2 linked regions of the Rhinolophus ferrumequinum genome follow. The protein of the gene in region 1 interacts with the protein of each later gene in a pairwise test. Links are inferred from orthologs where the notes say so. Each region holds a gene or a part of one and is shown on either strand. Other genes may lie near its edges.

Region 1 (8,031 bases):
TGTAATTACTACCGTCTACTATTAGCCCGCTGATGTCCACAGTAGAGGAAAGCAGTGGTCAAGAGCGTGAAAAGTGTGTGCTTCCCCTGTTTGTGGGGGTGTGTACATGTGCTTTGTCTAACATCTGAGGCTGCTTTCATGTGTTGTAAGAACTATGGACAAAGTAAAAGCACACTTGTAAAACTTAAGTGCATGTTCCAAGAAGCTATAATTGGGACAAAAGCAGTTTATGAAAATAAATGAATTAGCTGTGGGGATGGAGGTGTCAACACACGCACAGTTGTGACTCTTCCTGTCTCTTTGCCTCTGTTCAGATGAGTGACGTTTGGATTGATCTTGACATTGTGGCTGTGTTCTCTTCTGGTTTTGCCTTCTTGCGGTCCCTATGTGCCCCTGTCTCCTCCTTCCCCATTCCCGTGGTCAGGGACCTGTGTCTCAGAGCTTAGACAGTCAAAGATGCTGCCCAAGTGTACTGGAGCAGAGCATGTCCCTTGTGGAGACTCAGGCACCTGGAAAGCTCATCCCGTAGGATTTGGATGCTGGGCTCCCGGCCTGCCACCCACAATGTTCTCAGCCTGGTTCCCTCTCTGCCTTCTCAGGCTCCTACCTGGGCCCTGAAGGGGTCACTGGGAGGTACAAGCCCATTGTACATGTGGTACCTGATGGACCTTTCTAGTTTGATAAGGTAGGACTCTCAGGATCACGGTGTAACATAAAGGGAGACAATATGAGAAATCAGAAGAAGGGAGGGAAGGTGGTATTAGGGGAAGAGAAAGAGAGGGCAGAGCTAAGAGACAGGTGTTAATGGCCCAGGGAGCTGGGGTAAGGTGAAAAAGGAAGTGAGAAAAAGAGATGAATAAGGCAGAGAGGGGTGAATGAGACCAGAGTAAGGCAGGATGAGCAAGATGCTGGCCAGGAAGTACCACTGGGGAACAGGGCAGGCAGTAGTTCAGAAACCAGAAGAAAAGTCACCTGGAAGATAAGCCTCAGTGCCCCCAGAACCAACCTCCTGACACTTGCAAGAGCATCACTGACCATTTTTTTCCAAGCCTCAGGCTTAGATTTGGGCATTCAGTGGCTGTGGTTCCATGCCAAGATCATCACCTAGCCCAGCGGCCTTGCCTTCTTGCTCAGATATCTGGCCTCTGCTCCTCTGTATGGCTTTTCCCCTCTCCCAAATCCAGGCCCGTTCTCCTTGCATCTAGGTTCTCATTGTATCACCTGGCAAGTCTCTCAACTTCCCTCCGTGCCCCCTGCAAGCCATTCTGCATTTTAGAATCACTGGGGCTGGAGGGTGGAAGCTTTTACAATTCTGATGCCCAGGTTATATCCCAGACCAATAAAACCAGAATGTCTGGGTGTGGGGGCCAGCTATCAGTACTTTTAAGGCTCCCCAGGTGATTTCAATGCAAAGCAAAGTTTGGGAGCTCCTGGTTTAAGGCATCTTCCCAAAGCACCAATGTCATCCATCCTCTGTTAAAATGGGCTCAGTGAGTCTCCTGGCGGATGCACAGGAAATGGGGCAGTCAAGGGGAGTGTGGACGCTACTTTCCACACCTAAGAACTGCTGGGCCTGCGTCCAGAGCTGCTGGGTTCTCTGTTCACGCAAGGACCACGAGAGGTCCCTGAGCGGAGAGTAACACTTATGAAACATCTACTAAGTGCTGAACTGCAAAACGGCTTGGTCATATTCTTCACCTGAACTCACTAACCTTTGCTCACGGAATTGCTTTTCCGGTCCTGAAAGGCTTCAAACCTGCCTCTCCAAATCCTGTCATGGTGCTGAGCTTTGATCTTTCCTCCTCTAAGGAGTCTGCCTCTCATACTCCAGACTCCTCTCATGTGTGACATAGAAAGACGGGTTTGATCAGAGCAGGAAGAGGATATTTGATGCCTGACACAGAGGGTGAATGCTCCCAAAGAGTGGCTGAAACCCTCAGTGCCATGACCTCTGGATAGGAACAAAAAGAAGGCTGGCAGGAGTACACAGCTCTCTGGGGGCCTTCTGTAGGCCGTAGGGGTCAAAAGTGTCCTATGGAAGCGATTGCTTGTCCAGTAAGTGTTGCAGATATCAAAAGTTCAGAGGAGGCAGAGCAATTTATATTTTTAAATCACAAAGTATATGCATTACTTCTCATGCCACCGAATCGAGGCAGGGATTTTCCTCTCTGTTTTTGCAGTAGAGCCTTTTAAAGTTAAGAACACACAGACTCTGGGTTCAAATCCTGGGTGCTTCTGACTGACTGTCTGATCCTGGGCCACTTAACTTCTCTGAGGCTCAGCTTCCTCATTTGTGGGGTGGGTCTGGGCTGAGGGTGCCATGGGGCCATGCAGGCAGTGCCAGGCAAGTTGCTTAAGCACTGAGTATTGGCTATTACTGTTTTGTACCAGTGAGAGCTGAGGCTCAGGAGAGCACAGCGCTCGTTCACACAGCTGGCAGGGCGCCCCCCCCCCCCCCCGTGTTCCTGAGCCAATGTGGCCCACCTCCGGGGCCCGGCACTTACGAGGTACTGATGCTCCTCAGGCGGCCCTTATGGAAGGTGATGGTGGCATTGCGGCAGCAGTGGCTCTCGTAGTAGTAGCACTTGATGTTGCTGCTGGTCGTGCAGCAGCACTTGCAGTTCGGGTCATTGGCCCACGAGCAGCAGCACCAGTGGCAGTTGGGGTTCTCGGAGCAGGTGCAGTGGCAGAACTGGCAGTTCCGCTCATCTTTGTAAGGGCAGGGAAAGCAGGTGCAGTTCCGCTCTGACGTGAACAGGAACTTGCAGCACAGACAGGAGCACAGCCGTGGGCAGCATCTCTGCCACGTGCAACACGGAGAACAGACACACATAGCAGTCTCCATGGCTCGGTCGTGACGGTCACCTGCCCTCTTCCACGAGAATCCTGCTGTTAGTTCTCCTGCAGAGGGGTTCCTCTTCCCCCCGACGGGGCCGTCAGCTTGGAGGTTGCAAGAGGTTGGCTGTTATGAGGCCTTCGCAGGTGATGTCCCTACTAGGAAGTTCATGGGCTGGCATTTACATATATGGGCCTGAGGCCATTTGCTTATGTCACAATCCCTGTCTCCCCAGCATATCTCTATCCCATGTCTGGGAGGGTGAGCTCTGGGGGCTAGTGGCAGGTGCGCTGGGGGGCACACCATGCTTCCGTAGGACCAGCTCCAAGGAACAGTAAGGCAATGAGCATCCTGAAGGGTTAGCTGTCACCTGTCACTTTTCGAGTTATGGGGTGGACTTCAGAAGCTATTTCTCTCTGCTTTCCCTGCAACTTGGGCGAGTTAACTTGAGGCTATGTCTTTATAGGCCTCAAGGTCTGGATATGATTAATTGAAAAGTAGACTGACATGATGTTCGTCTCCTTGGGCTTTTTCTGTGTTCATAGAACTCTTTATTTGATAAGCAAAGCACAGCATTTACAAATAATAGCAATGCCACATTTAAGGCCATCGCCATTTGGAGAAAGAATTACAGAAAAAAAGATATTGGTTCACTTAGGCACTTCTTTCAGTAGTCATTGAGTTTGTCAGTTGCTGCGTTGATGATTTTCTTTTCTTTTTTCAAATTTCTCAAAGGCTTTCAAGGTTTTTCATTTCAAATCTGATGATGTTCATGACGCTTCATGTATTAACTCACCCTGAATATTTCTTGGCTTTTGCAGCTTCGTGGGGTTTGGCCGAGGCTCAAGCTATCTCCTACCCCGCCCCCCACCTTCCCACCTCATGTATCTTTTTACAAGAGGTCGGAACTCGACATGAGGAATTTTAACTTTTCTTTTAGTATACATGCAGTATGTCTAGAATGACCTTGTAGCATTTTAGGGGAGAATTTTCTTTCCAATTAATGCAGCTTGCAAAGATTAAAAGAACAGAGATTTCATGGCCATACCACCCTGTGGTATAAACACTGTCTTATTATTTTTCCAAAAAGAAGCAGAAGTAAGAGCTGAATTGGCTGTAGGAGTTTATTGCATAATTTATTATCTCTCTCTATGATTATCACCTTTATAATCGGAAGAGCATTCACTGAGAGCTGACTGTGCCAGCCACACATGGATTTTAGATTCCCACAAATGAAAATCCTGGTTCATAGGGCATGTGCTTTATTTTTTTGGATAGATACTACTAAACTACTTACTTGAATGTGCCTGTTTATACTGACACAAACAATATATGGGAGGTACTTTCCCCTGTCATGTTTTCCTAAATTCCCTTTTATCAATGTTTCTCTCTATTCTCCATGCACAGAGTTTAACACACTCCTGAATTTAAATATGTTTTCATCATTGATCTGCGCAAGCCTCCCTCTTGTCTTTTTATTTTTAAATATTTATTGAGATATAATTCATTTACTATTAAATTCACCATTTTAAGTTGAAAAATTCAATGGTTTTAAGTATATTCACAAGATTGTGCAACTATCACCACCATCTAATTCTAGAATATTTTCATCACCCCCCAAAGACTCCTTGTATTCCCTGCAGCCCCTGCAACCATTAAACTACTTTTTATTATCAATGTATTTGCTTATTCTGGACACTTCATATGCATGGAATCATATATAATAATATGTGGCCTTTGTGACTGTCAAATAAGCTGAAGTAATCCACACAATGGTGTGTATGTAACTATGTAAAAGAATGTGAAAGACTTCCGTTGACTGTTTCAAAGTGATTTCTAAAATATATTACTGAGTGCAAAAAGCCAGATATAGAAATGTGCGTATAATATGCTACCATTCATCTCAGAAAAGGTCTTACGTCATTGGTTTGTCTTATGATACATTAAGATAAACCGAAAACTTAGATTTATGAGGTAGTACAGGAATAAGGTCAAGTGGACTATATATCTTAATTTATAGGATTGATTTGAAAGCCACTTAAGTATTTCACATAATTATAAAATGAAATTGAATTAAAAAGAGAAATCCTAAAAATTAAGCAAAATGAAACAAGTGAACCTGTAAATTGAGTTGGTAGCATAACCATAGAAAGACAAATTATTTTGTTAGCTTAAAATACAGTAATTTGAGTGGTCATATGGTTCTCAACTTTTTCTGTCTGACTTATTTCGCTTAGTATGAGAATCTCAAGATCCCTCCATGTTGTCGCAAATGGCCGTATTTCATCTTTTCTTATGGCTGAGTAATATTCCATCTATGTGGAATATGAAACTGAGAGGAACAAATGAACGAGACAAACAAACAAAGAAACAAAAACTTATAGAGACAGACAACAGTTTGGTGGTTACCAAATGGTAAGGGAGAGAAGGGATGGTAGAAAAGGGTAAATATATGGTGATGGAAGGAAAACTGACTCTGGGTGGTGGACACACAATGCAATCAATATACGGATGATATATTATAGAAATGTACACTTGAAACCTGTATAATTTTTTACTAACAAATGTCACCCCAATAAATTTAATAAAAAATTAAAAAATACAGTAACTTGATGGTACATCCCCATCAAGTGGGGTTTGTCCCTAAGGACAAACAAAACAAAACAAGGAGAAATCTTAAATTCTCTCAGTAGTCATGTTGTCAGTGGGAGTCAGTATTGTTATTCTGAGAGTGTTGCGTGCGTCGTACAATAAAGCAAAGGAGGAATTCGGTTGTTGTCAATGAGAATCACAATTTTTGTAGTGGGAGAAAGGACATACAGATGGACGACGGCTGAAGTTAAGAAAACCTTTAGTCCTGAATTTGAGTTGGAAATAATCAGTATCAACTTGTGATGTCTTTTATCTGAAAAAAATATTTCTTAACTCTGGCCACTGAAATGGCCGAGAAACCCAGTGGTAATGAGCCCCGTTGTCTTCCAGGTTGTGGTCTCTGAGTATCACTCAGAGGAATCAGGGCTCTCGGAGAAACGGGTGATTCCAGGTCTGGGGCACAAAATGTGTAAGATAAACGGGTTCAGGTGTACATCTGACAAAACTGAACGGGTCCCCTCCAGCACCAGTTTACTTAGCTTTGCTAGAGGCTATAGAACAGAAAGGACAGTGTGCCAGCAGAGCAGGGTCAGGTGTGATGGCTCAGGTGTGAAGGAGATAGTGATATAGTGATGCCGTGATGTACTGGCCAGGTGTCCTTGCTAAGACTGAGGTACTCATTCCTCCGGTTGCCTGGAGGGTTGGCTGCTCACAGTTGGGAATTGTTTTCAGTACAGGGGAACTGCCTTGCCCGAGGTTATGCCCCTTTTCAAGGATCCTCACTGCTTAAATTGGGACAACTGTAAAGGGCCATCCCAGATACCAAGGAAGTCCTGCTGGGGTTCACAGTTGCATTCACATTGTAGTTTCGTTTTTCCCGCTTCACAGCCCTGTTTCCTTCACTTCCTAAGAGCCCTTCCCATTAAACTTCCTGTGCATAACTCTCCAGTCTCATAGTCTGTTTCTGGGGGAACCCAGTGCAAAGGAACGGGTATGGGAACTGTTCTGGCTCATAAGCCCCTTTCCCCCTCTGAGCCAATATGTTTGATTTCATCCCATGGGAACAGCTGCCAGGGGTCTTAGCAAGGGACATGCCCAGTTACAAGGATGCATTGCATTTAGAAAAGCTCAGACTATGGATTCCTACTAGGTGTGGATAGTTAATTCACAGTCCTCCTGGGCCAGGTGTAGTTTTCTAACCAGAGGTCATTTTTACCATAAGCAATGTTGCTTGGTAACATAGATGACATTCCACCTTTCCTGGGTTTCCAGGGGAACAGAGCTAAAAAGTTAACCCAAGGTCATTTTTTCATAGAGAAAGAGAATGAGTTTGCTAACCTTTTTTTTTTTTTAACAAGAGATTTGTTTTAATGTTCTACTTTTATTTATTTATTTATTTATTTATTTATTTATTTTATTGGGGACGGGGAACAGGACTTTATTGGGCAAATAGCGTGTACTTCCAGGCCTTTTTTCCAAGTCAAGTTGTTGTCCTTTCAATCTTAGTTGTGGAGAGTGCTGTTCAGCTTCAAGTTGTTGTCCTTTCAGTCTTAGTTGTGGAGGGCGCAGCTCAGCTCCAGGTCCAGTTGCCGCTTTCTAGTTGCACGGGGCACAGCCCACCATCGCCTGCGGGAGTCGAACTGGCGACCTTGTGGTTGAGAGGATGTGCTCCAACCAACTGAGCCATCTAGGAGCTCAGCAGCAACTCAACTCAAGGTGCTGTGTTCAATCTTAGTTGCAGGGGGCGGAGCCCACCATCCCTTGCGGGACTCGAGGAGTTGAACCGGCAACCTTGTGGTTAAGAGCCCACCGGCCCATGTGGGAATCGAACCGGCAGCCTTCCGAGTTAGGAGCACAGAGCTCCAACCGCCTGAGCCACCGGGCCGGCTCCAAGTTTGCTAACCTTTTATTCACATTAACAAAAAACCTACAAGTTCATGAAGGTAACTGAAACGAAACAAAAATCCCAACAACTCTCATTTAGACAGGATACTAGGAAACTTGTTATTTTGAAACCTGCTAAATAAAGGGACAGAAACATTTATCTAGACTTTGTTATATATGAACTGTGCCTCAGGATAATGAATGAGTTGATAAGCGTAATTTTTCTCTTTATAGAAATATCCCAGCTCATAAATGAGGAATGATGGAATTAAGACATCATCCACTTGCAACTCCTACTGAAGAGATGAATCTAGGCGATTCCCTCCGTGGCTGCTAACAGCACAAAAGAGAGACAACCAGGCATTGTGTGCTCCCTGATGGAAGAACACAACACTGCCCGTAAGTGTTCTTGCAAAAGTTCTAACCTGAATTGGATCACACTTCTAGATGTAACTACAAACTGTCGAGGGCAGGCGATGTTGTGGTGAGGAAACCTAAAAGTGCAGATTGTGGAAAACATACAGGACGAATGGCCGGGTTTCTTCAAAAGAAATATTGTAAGGGGGACACACACACACACACACACACACACACACACGGAAATTTATAAATTAAAAGAGACCTAAGAGACCATGTTAACCAATTGTAATTCTTGACCTTTATTAAGATCTTCATTTGAACAAACGTTAAAAAATTTTATTTATGATTCATTTGAAGGA
Region 2 (7,406 bases), on another chromosome or scaffold:
CAACAGTCCTGATGTCATCTCTGTCAGCCCTTTTTTTTCCTTTGCCCTTCCCAGGGGGTGGGGCGGGGGGAAATATGAAGATATTTTCTGGTGCTGGAGCAGGGGTGAGGAAGAGTTGGGAATGCTGTCATTTGTACTACTGACCTAGTAAAAACAGGGTTAGGCTTTTAACTCTCAGAGCACAGTTGTCATGGTCATCCCAGAATCAAGGTGCAGGCTGACTTGCCACCATTGTTTAGAGTACAAAGTCCTTGTTCAGCTTTCCACAAGCTGCTTAAAAAATACACCCAGCCAGGCAGATACAGACACCGATAGACAGGCACTCGCATACATAGAAAAGTTTTAAAATCACAAAGCAAGAGGCAAGTTCCTTACTGCAGCTTTTAATGACCCAGTTCACTGGGGCCTTATTTGCTCCTCATTTTTCTCCTTCACCTGCTGACTGTGAGAACAGGAGAGTCTCTGAAGACAACGAACAACAACCTTCCAGTTTTCGAGGAGCTCTTACTAGGCCTTTAAGTGCAGATTTCCACATTCTTGAAACACAGTTCCTTGGAACAGATAGCTGTGGTCACTGGTTAGTGTGAAAGTGACACCTTGCCTCGAGTGTGTTAGGAGGACTGGACATGTATGGTTCGTGGCTTCCTTGCTTGTAGCTGTCAGACCTGCAGCTGACTTGAACCAGGTTGACGGTCCACAGGATTTCAGGCCCAGCACACCCAGCCAGGAAACAAACCGAGGTTTCCCAAGTAAAAGTGCCCTGTACTATCAATGCAAAACTCTATGAGGAAACGGAAGTTCTTCTGAATTTACATAAAAGGACAAAATAATAAAGAGCATGAGCTGGAAGCCTCTGGCTTTAGGCCAGAGATGAGCAGAAGCTCTGAGAAAATCCCTTTTTCTGAGGTTCAGCATCCATCAGTCACTACTTTGGCCACCTCAGGGCACAAACCACAGGGCGAGCTGGAAGAGGGAGGCTCAGAGGTCACCTGGCAAGGTGAGAAAGTAAGTACAGGGAGGTTTTGTGACTTGTCTAAAGACACACAGCCAGTCCATGGCGGATCCTGGACTGGAATCTAGGACTCCTGGAGGCTGGGTAGATAGTGAGGAACATAGCAATTACTTAAGACACAGGAAACAACCAGAGTGAGCAGGCGACCGCATTAGATGCTGAAAACTGGGCACTGAGAACTGTTGGAATCTAATGAAATTATTTTCAGAGTAAACACTAACCATAATACTAACCATAAGTTAGTGCAGTGAACCTAAACTGTGCCAGGTACTTTACTGGATGCTCCCCACACATTAGTTTTCTATGACAAAGATGGTTATTCCCATTCAGATGAAGAAACGGAGGCTGGAACATGTTAACTTGCCCAGGACCACACAGATGCTGAGAAGAAACGTCAAGATTCTCCCAAATCTTTCTGCCCTCAAAGCCTGAGTCTTGACTGCTTAGGATAATGATTTTCATCAAAAGTAGGGGCAAAGAGCTGAATGTCCTCATTTATTTAAGGTTCCCATATGTTCACACCCTAAACCCTCCCAGAAAAGGTCAGGACGTAAAGTTAAGACAAAAGTACAAAAATCTTTGAGACAAATATTTTCATGAATTGAAAGTAGGCTGGTTGGGGTTCCATGTGGGTGGCACAGATGCTTTTTGGATAAGGCTTGGTGTTATATGTGCGTGTGCTAGGAGGCAAACACCAAGATTCTCTTTGTGTCTTTTGGGCCCAAAGTCTCCTAGTAGGCCAGGCCAATGGAATGGGGCCTGTTTTTTCTTAACTTTAAAATCCAAAGAATTTATCAAAGTTGGTCAGACATTGACACTGCACACCAGGGCTCATCTGAACACTTGACCAGGCTGGATTCCAGAAGGTCTAATTAGCTAGGGAATGTTGGGGAAGCTCCAAGTTTCCCCTAGAGAGGATGGCGCCATGTTAGTTCACTCCCAGAAAAACCTAGCTACCGCCCTCACAACAAACCCGGGGCTTGCTCACCAGCTGCAAGAGACATAAGACGACAGGCGTTTCAGAGCAACAAGGAAGTTATTTTTTGCCTTGTGCCGTCTTGGCGGCCAAGGACGAAAGCACCAGCTTTGGGGTTGGAAGGACCTCAGTGTAGGTCCCAACCTTGAACTTAACTCTTGCTGCGTGGTAGGAAGCAATTATTTTAAACTTTTCCCTTCATCACGTGATTGGAGTTGATTAAAACGAGGGCCATCCAGGGCCGTTCCCGACGACCAGTCGCATTGTGGTCTAATGGACGTGCGCCAAGCTGTACACGGCAGCCCTGCTAAAACCCACTCAGCACACGGGGGCATGCAGTTCACCCCACAGAGCTCCCTCTCTTTTCCTAGTCTGCATTCTGTTAACGCCCAGTGCAGGCACTGTGGCTAATTCACCCACCACGTGCCAGGTACGAGGCTAGGCAGTTGGGATGGAGAGAAAATCAAGACAAGGTTCTCGCCGTCCAGACACCGCCATTCCAAGAAGAGAGGCGCAGTCAAGTAAACACCATTGCAGCGAGGCCTGAGGCATGTAATATTAGAAATCGGCAGAGGGAGCGGACACAGTCCAGAGGACTGAGAAGCTTGAAACAGAAGGAACACAGGCCCTTTAAGGAATTTAGCTACCCGTCTATTACATCACCAGCATGGCTCAGAAGCGAAGGAATACTCACCAGCGCTGATAGCTATCCCAACAGCTCCTCTCTCCAGCATTTCGCTTGTATCTCCATGGGTCTCTGCCCCCCTTGGCTCAGGTCTCCTCATTCCGGCCTCTAGGCCCCCGGCCCCAGTGGCATGTTATGGATATACTTGCCTGACCTAGACCTTCTGTACTCTGGAAGATGATCCACTCTATGACCTGCAACTATGAATGAGAGACACTCCTCCTTCCACCCTGCCCTGTGGTCCCCTAAAGGCCTGGCCAGCCCAGCCTCCCCAACAGGGACTAGATACATGTAAGGACCTACGAGTCGTCTGATGGAGCCAGAATCCAAATATAAGTGGGAGAGGGAAGTGGCCGAAGCCGGTTATGGAGGTGGACAGGAGACCAGTCTGATTCCTGCTAAATAGTCTGGACTTTATTCTGCAGACTTGGGGAGCCACTGAAAGGCGTGATGCAGGGAACTGGCAGGTTCTGATTTGCCTGTCCCGGGATTACTCTGGTGGTGACAGGGTAGGGTTATTGGAGAGAAAGAGACAGGAGCGAGGGGAAAAGTCAGTGCGTGAGGCTGTAGGCTGTTACAAAAATGAAAGTGCGATTTGAGGAGAGAACACCAGGCTTCCCTGTCACTCACTGCCGGTGCCCTCAGTCAGGACCTCCCAGGAAGCAGGGGCAGGACCGACCCGGGGACCCTCTCAGTCATCCTCATAGGTCTACAGCAGCCCATCCCGGGGCTGATCCTACTCCATAACCGTCATCATTCTCCTCTTCCTGCTCCCCTTCCTTCTTCTCCCTTCCTCCCTCTCTCCCTCTCCTCCTGCTTCTTCTCCCTCCTTCTCCTTCCTCCTCCTCCTCCTTCTTTTTCTCCTCTGTCTCTCTCCCCCCTTCCCCTCTCTCTCTTCTTCTTCCTCCCTCTTCCTCCATCTCTCCCTCCCTCCCTCTCTCTCTTTCTGGCACACTCTAGAGCAATATGCCTTGCCTCCCGCCTCGATCTCAAGCCTTTCTGACAGGAAAAAAAACGGGAAAGTAAAACAAAAAAGCAAAAACCTATTTGTAAAAACTAATGGAAAACCAATCAGCACTTTCTGAGAGAGGCAGGTGTGTCGTGCAGGAGGGCTGCTGCCCTCACCACTTTAAAACAGAAGCCTCTGGGGGAAGGAGCAGCCACCAAGGTTTGGTCCTTCCAAGTCTGGAAACGCGGGGGTGCTTCACAAACATTGAACACAACTTTTGTCATGGATTCCATCATCTCAGAGCCCGGAGGAAGAAATGACAGCCCTCTCCAATGATCCTGGCCGGCAGGTGAGAAATACAGACCCATTAAACAGCACCCCTGGGCCCCCTTTTGGGTTTCCCTTGGGACCATCTGCCACCTTCCGCGCACCCAGAACTACCTTCAGTGACTCTCACCAGGTCACAGCAACCTGTTTACAGACATCTAGAATTCCCAGGCACTTTTAGGACACGGGACTCGGGATGTTTCCAAATGGGCAGCAAAGTCCTGTCTCAGAGAAGCCGTTCCTTCGGATCTATTTATGCCGATGTAAACACTTGCCAAAGAAACAAGGCACGTGGGCATGCGCCGGCTCTGCAGGCCCTCGGCTTGCTGCAAAAGGCAACTGGAAAGTCACATGTCATAACAGTGGAAAGTACATATGCAACTATTCTTAGCCCTGGAATGTATACACTGTCTCCCTGCCCAGCGGTTCTTTCACAAAGCTCTAGAAAACTGTGAAAGCGCCTTCAGCATAAACAAATCCAGAACTCTCCCAGGACAAATCATTTGCCAACTGAAGGAAAGGCCTGGGTTTATGGTTTCACTTGGAGCCAGAGGTGGAGACTCTGGAGGGACGAGCCGGACCAGACATCGGCGGATGGTACTGCCACAAAACAAGGTAAATGTCTCTGACGTTTCATTCTTCAACAGGTAGACCGTGAGGCATCATCCAATAAACACTGCCCAGGTTACTCTTGGGTCTGTGCTTCCTATTTATCCCATCTTGAAAACAAAACCCTAAAGACTTCATGCAGTCATATTCTCAAGGGGAAAAAAGAACATTGCAAAGGTCCACTTTATCCCTCCTTCCTGTCTAGTTAGCAGAAGGCCACGCCCCCAGAATGACGTCCCTTCGGGAAGGACTAACACCCAGAAAGATGCTTGGATGAGTTTACAAAAATAACAGATAGGCTGAGAATCTAGAGAAAGGCTTCTGGTGGGCAAACGCATAGACTGTCATTTTGCTTTAGGCTAACATTTCCATTCCTGACAATAGAGTAACTTCCAACAGCCTTCACTGTTTTTGTTTGTTTGCTCGTTTTTTCTCAGATTATCTGAAGATGCTGTTTGCCTGTTACCTTTGAGAGGAACCATAACCAAAAGGAGAGGCGTGAGCTGTGAAGTCTGGAGGGCAGGTGGCCTCCCTTTCCAATCTTCACTACAGGATTTTCTTGGCGATACCCTCACGCGTCTTGGAGAAAGGATGCAGATGCTCTAAGGTCTTGGAGACTCCACAGCCAAACCCTCCATCCAGCACATGCTCCCTCGTGGGACTTCTTCCCCTCTTTGCAGGATGAATGAGTCATCGCCAGATGGGCTGCTCTTCAACGACCATGACTTCTCCTCCGAATTGTTGAGGCAGCTCAATGGCTTCAGACAAAACAGCATCCTGACTGATGTGAGCATCTGTGCTGGGGCCTGGGAGGTCCCCTGCCACCGAAATGTGCTGGCCTCCAGCAGCCCTTACTTCAGGGCCATGTTCTGCAGCAACTTCCGGGAGAGCAGTGAGGCCAAAGTCCAGCTGAAGGGCGTCAACTCCATGACTCTGGACCAGATCGTCCTGTATGTGTACACCGGGGCGGTGCACATCACAGCTGACAACGTTCTGCCTTTGATGGAAGCCGCCTCCATGCTTCAGTACCCCAAGCTGTTTGAGGCCTGCTCCTCCTACCTCCAGAGCCAGCTGACCCCCAGCAACTGCCTGGGCATGATCAGACTCTCTGAGATCTTAAGTTGCAAGACCCTCAAGAAGAAAGCCAGGGAGGTGGCCCTGACGTACTTCCCAGAGGTGTCCGCATCGGCGGACCTGAAGGAGCTCTGTGCTTTGGAACTGAGGGACTACCTGGGAGATGACGGGCTCTGTGGGGAGGAAGAGAAGGTGTTTGAGGCCCTCATGGTTTGGATCAAGCATGACCTCCAGGCCCGGAAACGATACATGCAGGACCTGTTCCGGCTGGTCAGGCTTCAGTACATCCATCCGGCCTTCTTCCACCACTTCATTGCCAATGACGCTCTCCTGCAGTCCTCGCCTTCATGCCAGGTCATCTTGGAGACAGCCAAGAGGCAGATGTTTCCTTTGTATGGCGCCACCAGTGCCCCAGACCTCCAACCTCCGTGGCACATCCCCCCAAGAAACTCTTACCAAGACTTCCTCATCCTCTTGGGTGGAAGGAAGGACAACCAGCAGACCACCCGGGACGTTCTGCTGTACAACAGGCAGACTGGCCAATGGCAGAGCCTGGCCAAGCTCCCGACCCGGCTGTACAAGGCGGCGGCCGTCTCCTTGCACCGCAGCGTGTACGTGCTGGGAGGCATGGCTGTCGGCGCACAGAAGAGTGTACCCAGTCACAATGTCTACGTCTTCTCTCTGAAGCTCAATCAGTGGAGCCTGGGGCAGCCCATGCTGGCGGCCCGCTACTCCCACCGAAGCACTGCCCATAAGAACTTCATCTTCTCCATCGGGGGCATTGGAGAAGGGCAGGAGGTCATGGGCTCCATGGAGAGATTCGACAGCATCTGCAACGTCTGGGAGAGCGTGGCCAGCATGCCAGTGGAGGTTCTCCACCCTGCAGTCGCTGTGAAAGACCAAAGACTCTACCTTTTCGGGGGAGAGGACATTATGCAGAACCCTGTGCGCCTCATCCAGGTAAATGGCTGGTCCTTCCCGTTGTGTAAGTACACGAGAGTGTGCGCACCTGCACACATACAAACATACTCACACGTGCATATATACGCACACACGCACACACACAGCATACACACACAGGAATGTACATACATACACGTATAGGTGCACATACACACAGAGACACATGTGCAAATATATGTTATACATACACACATGCACATATAGAAACATACTCACCCATGCATATGTACGCACATAGATACACATACACATGAACACACATACAGAAATGTACATACATACACATATAGGTGCGCACACACATAGACACATATGTACACACCTATACATACACACATGCACACATACATATATACACACATACATAATACACACATTTGTCATCTGCAAGAGAAAGAAAAAGGAGGGAGGGAAGGAAGGAAGGAAGAAGGAAGGAAGTTTAATTTCAGCAAGATTTTTATCCATTTATAAAGCCTTTTTGTGTAAGATTAATTCATATAAAGGTACATCAGGTACAATCCCTATCCACAAAGAGTTTAACTTTATTTGAGAAAAAAATGGTATATCTAAAAGTTCAAGGTAGAACACACTGAATGTCAAATAGTGAAGTCCTATAGGAATTTGGTGGGTGTTTCTAACCCAAATCAGTAAGGATTTAAAAGAAGATTCCGAAGCATGGGTCCAGTCTGTTACCAAGTGTCCTGGAACCTGACCTCAGATCTGCTGAGTCAGAACCTCTTTGAGTGGGATCCTGACATTTATGGTTTACAAAAGTCACCAGGAGATTCTAATGTGCAGCCAGATTGTGAAA

The links.
Region 2: the proteins of TRIM42 (region 1) and KLHL38 interact in binary tests that used the Homo sapiens proteins (3 or more experiments, as listed by UniProt). The two-hybrid records come from large-scale screens. The link is inferred for Rhinolophus ferrumequinum from reciprocal best matches to the Homo sapiens genes TRIM42 and KLHL38.

Annotation. Positions count from the first base shown.
Region 1 is NC_046300.1:39,337,179-39,345,209, reverse strand, and holds the start of TRIM42 (tripartite motif-containing protein 42), read right to left. Parts: upstream 3,019-8,031; 5' UTR 2,846-3,018; coding exon 2,505-2,845; intron 1-2,504.
Region 2 is NC_046297.1:60,903,689-60,911,094, reverse strand, and holds the start of KLHL38 (kelch-like protein 38), read left to right. Parts: upstream 1-4,343; 5' UTR 4,344-4,564; intron 4,565-4,995; 5' UTR 4,996-5,203; coding exon 5,204-6,592; coding exon of another isoform or gene 6,593-6,617; intron 6,618-7,406.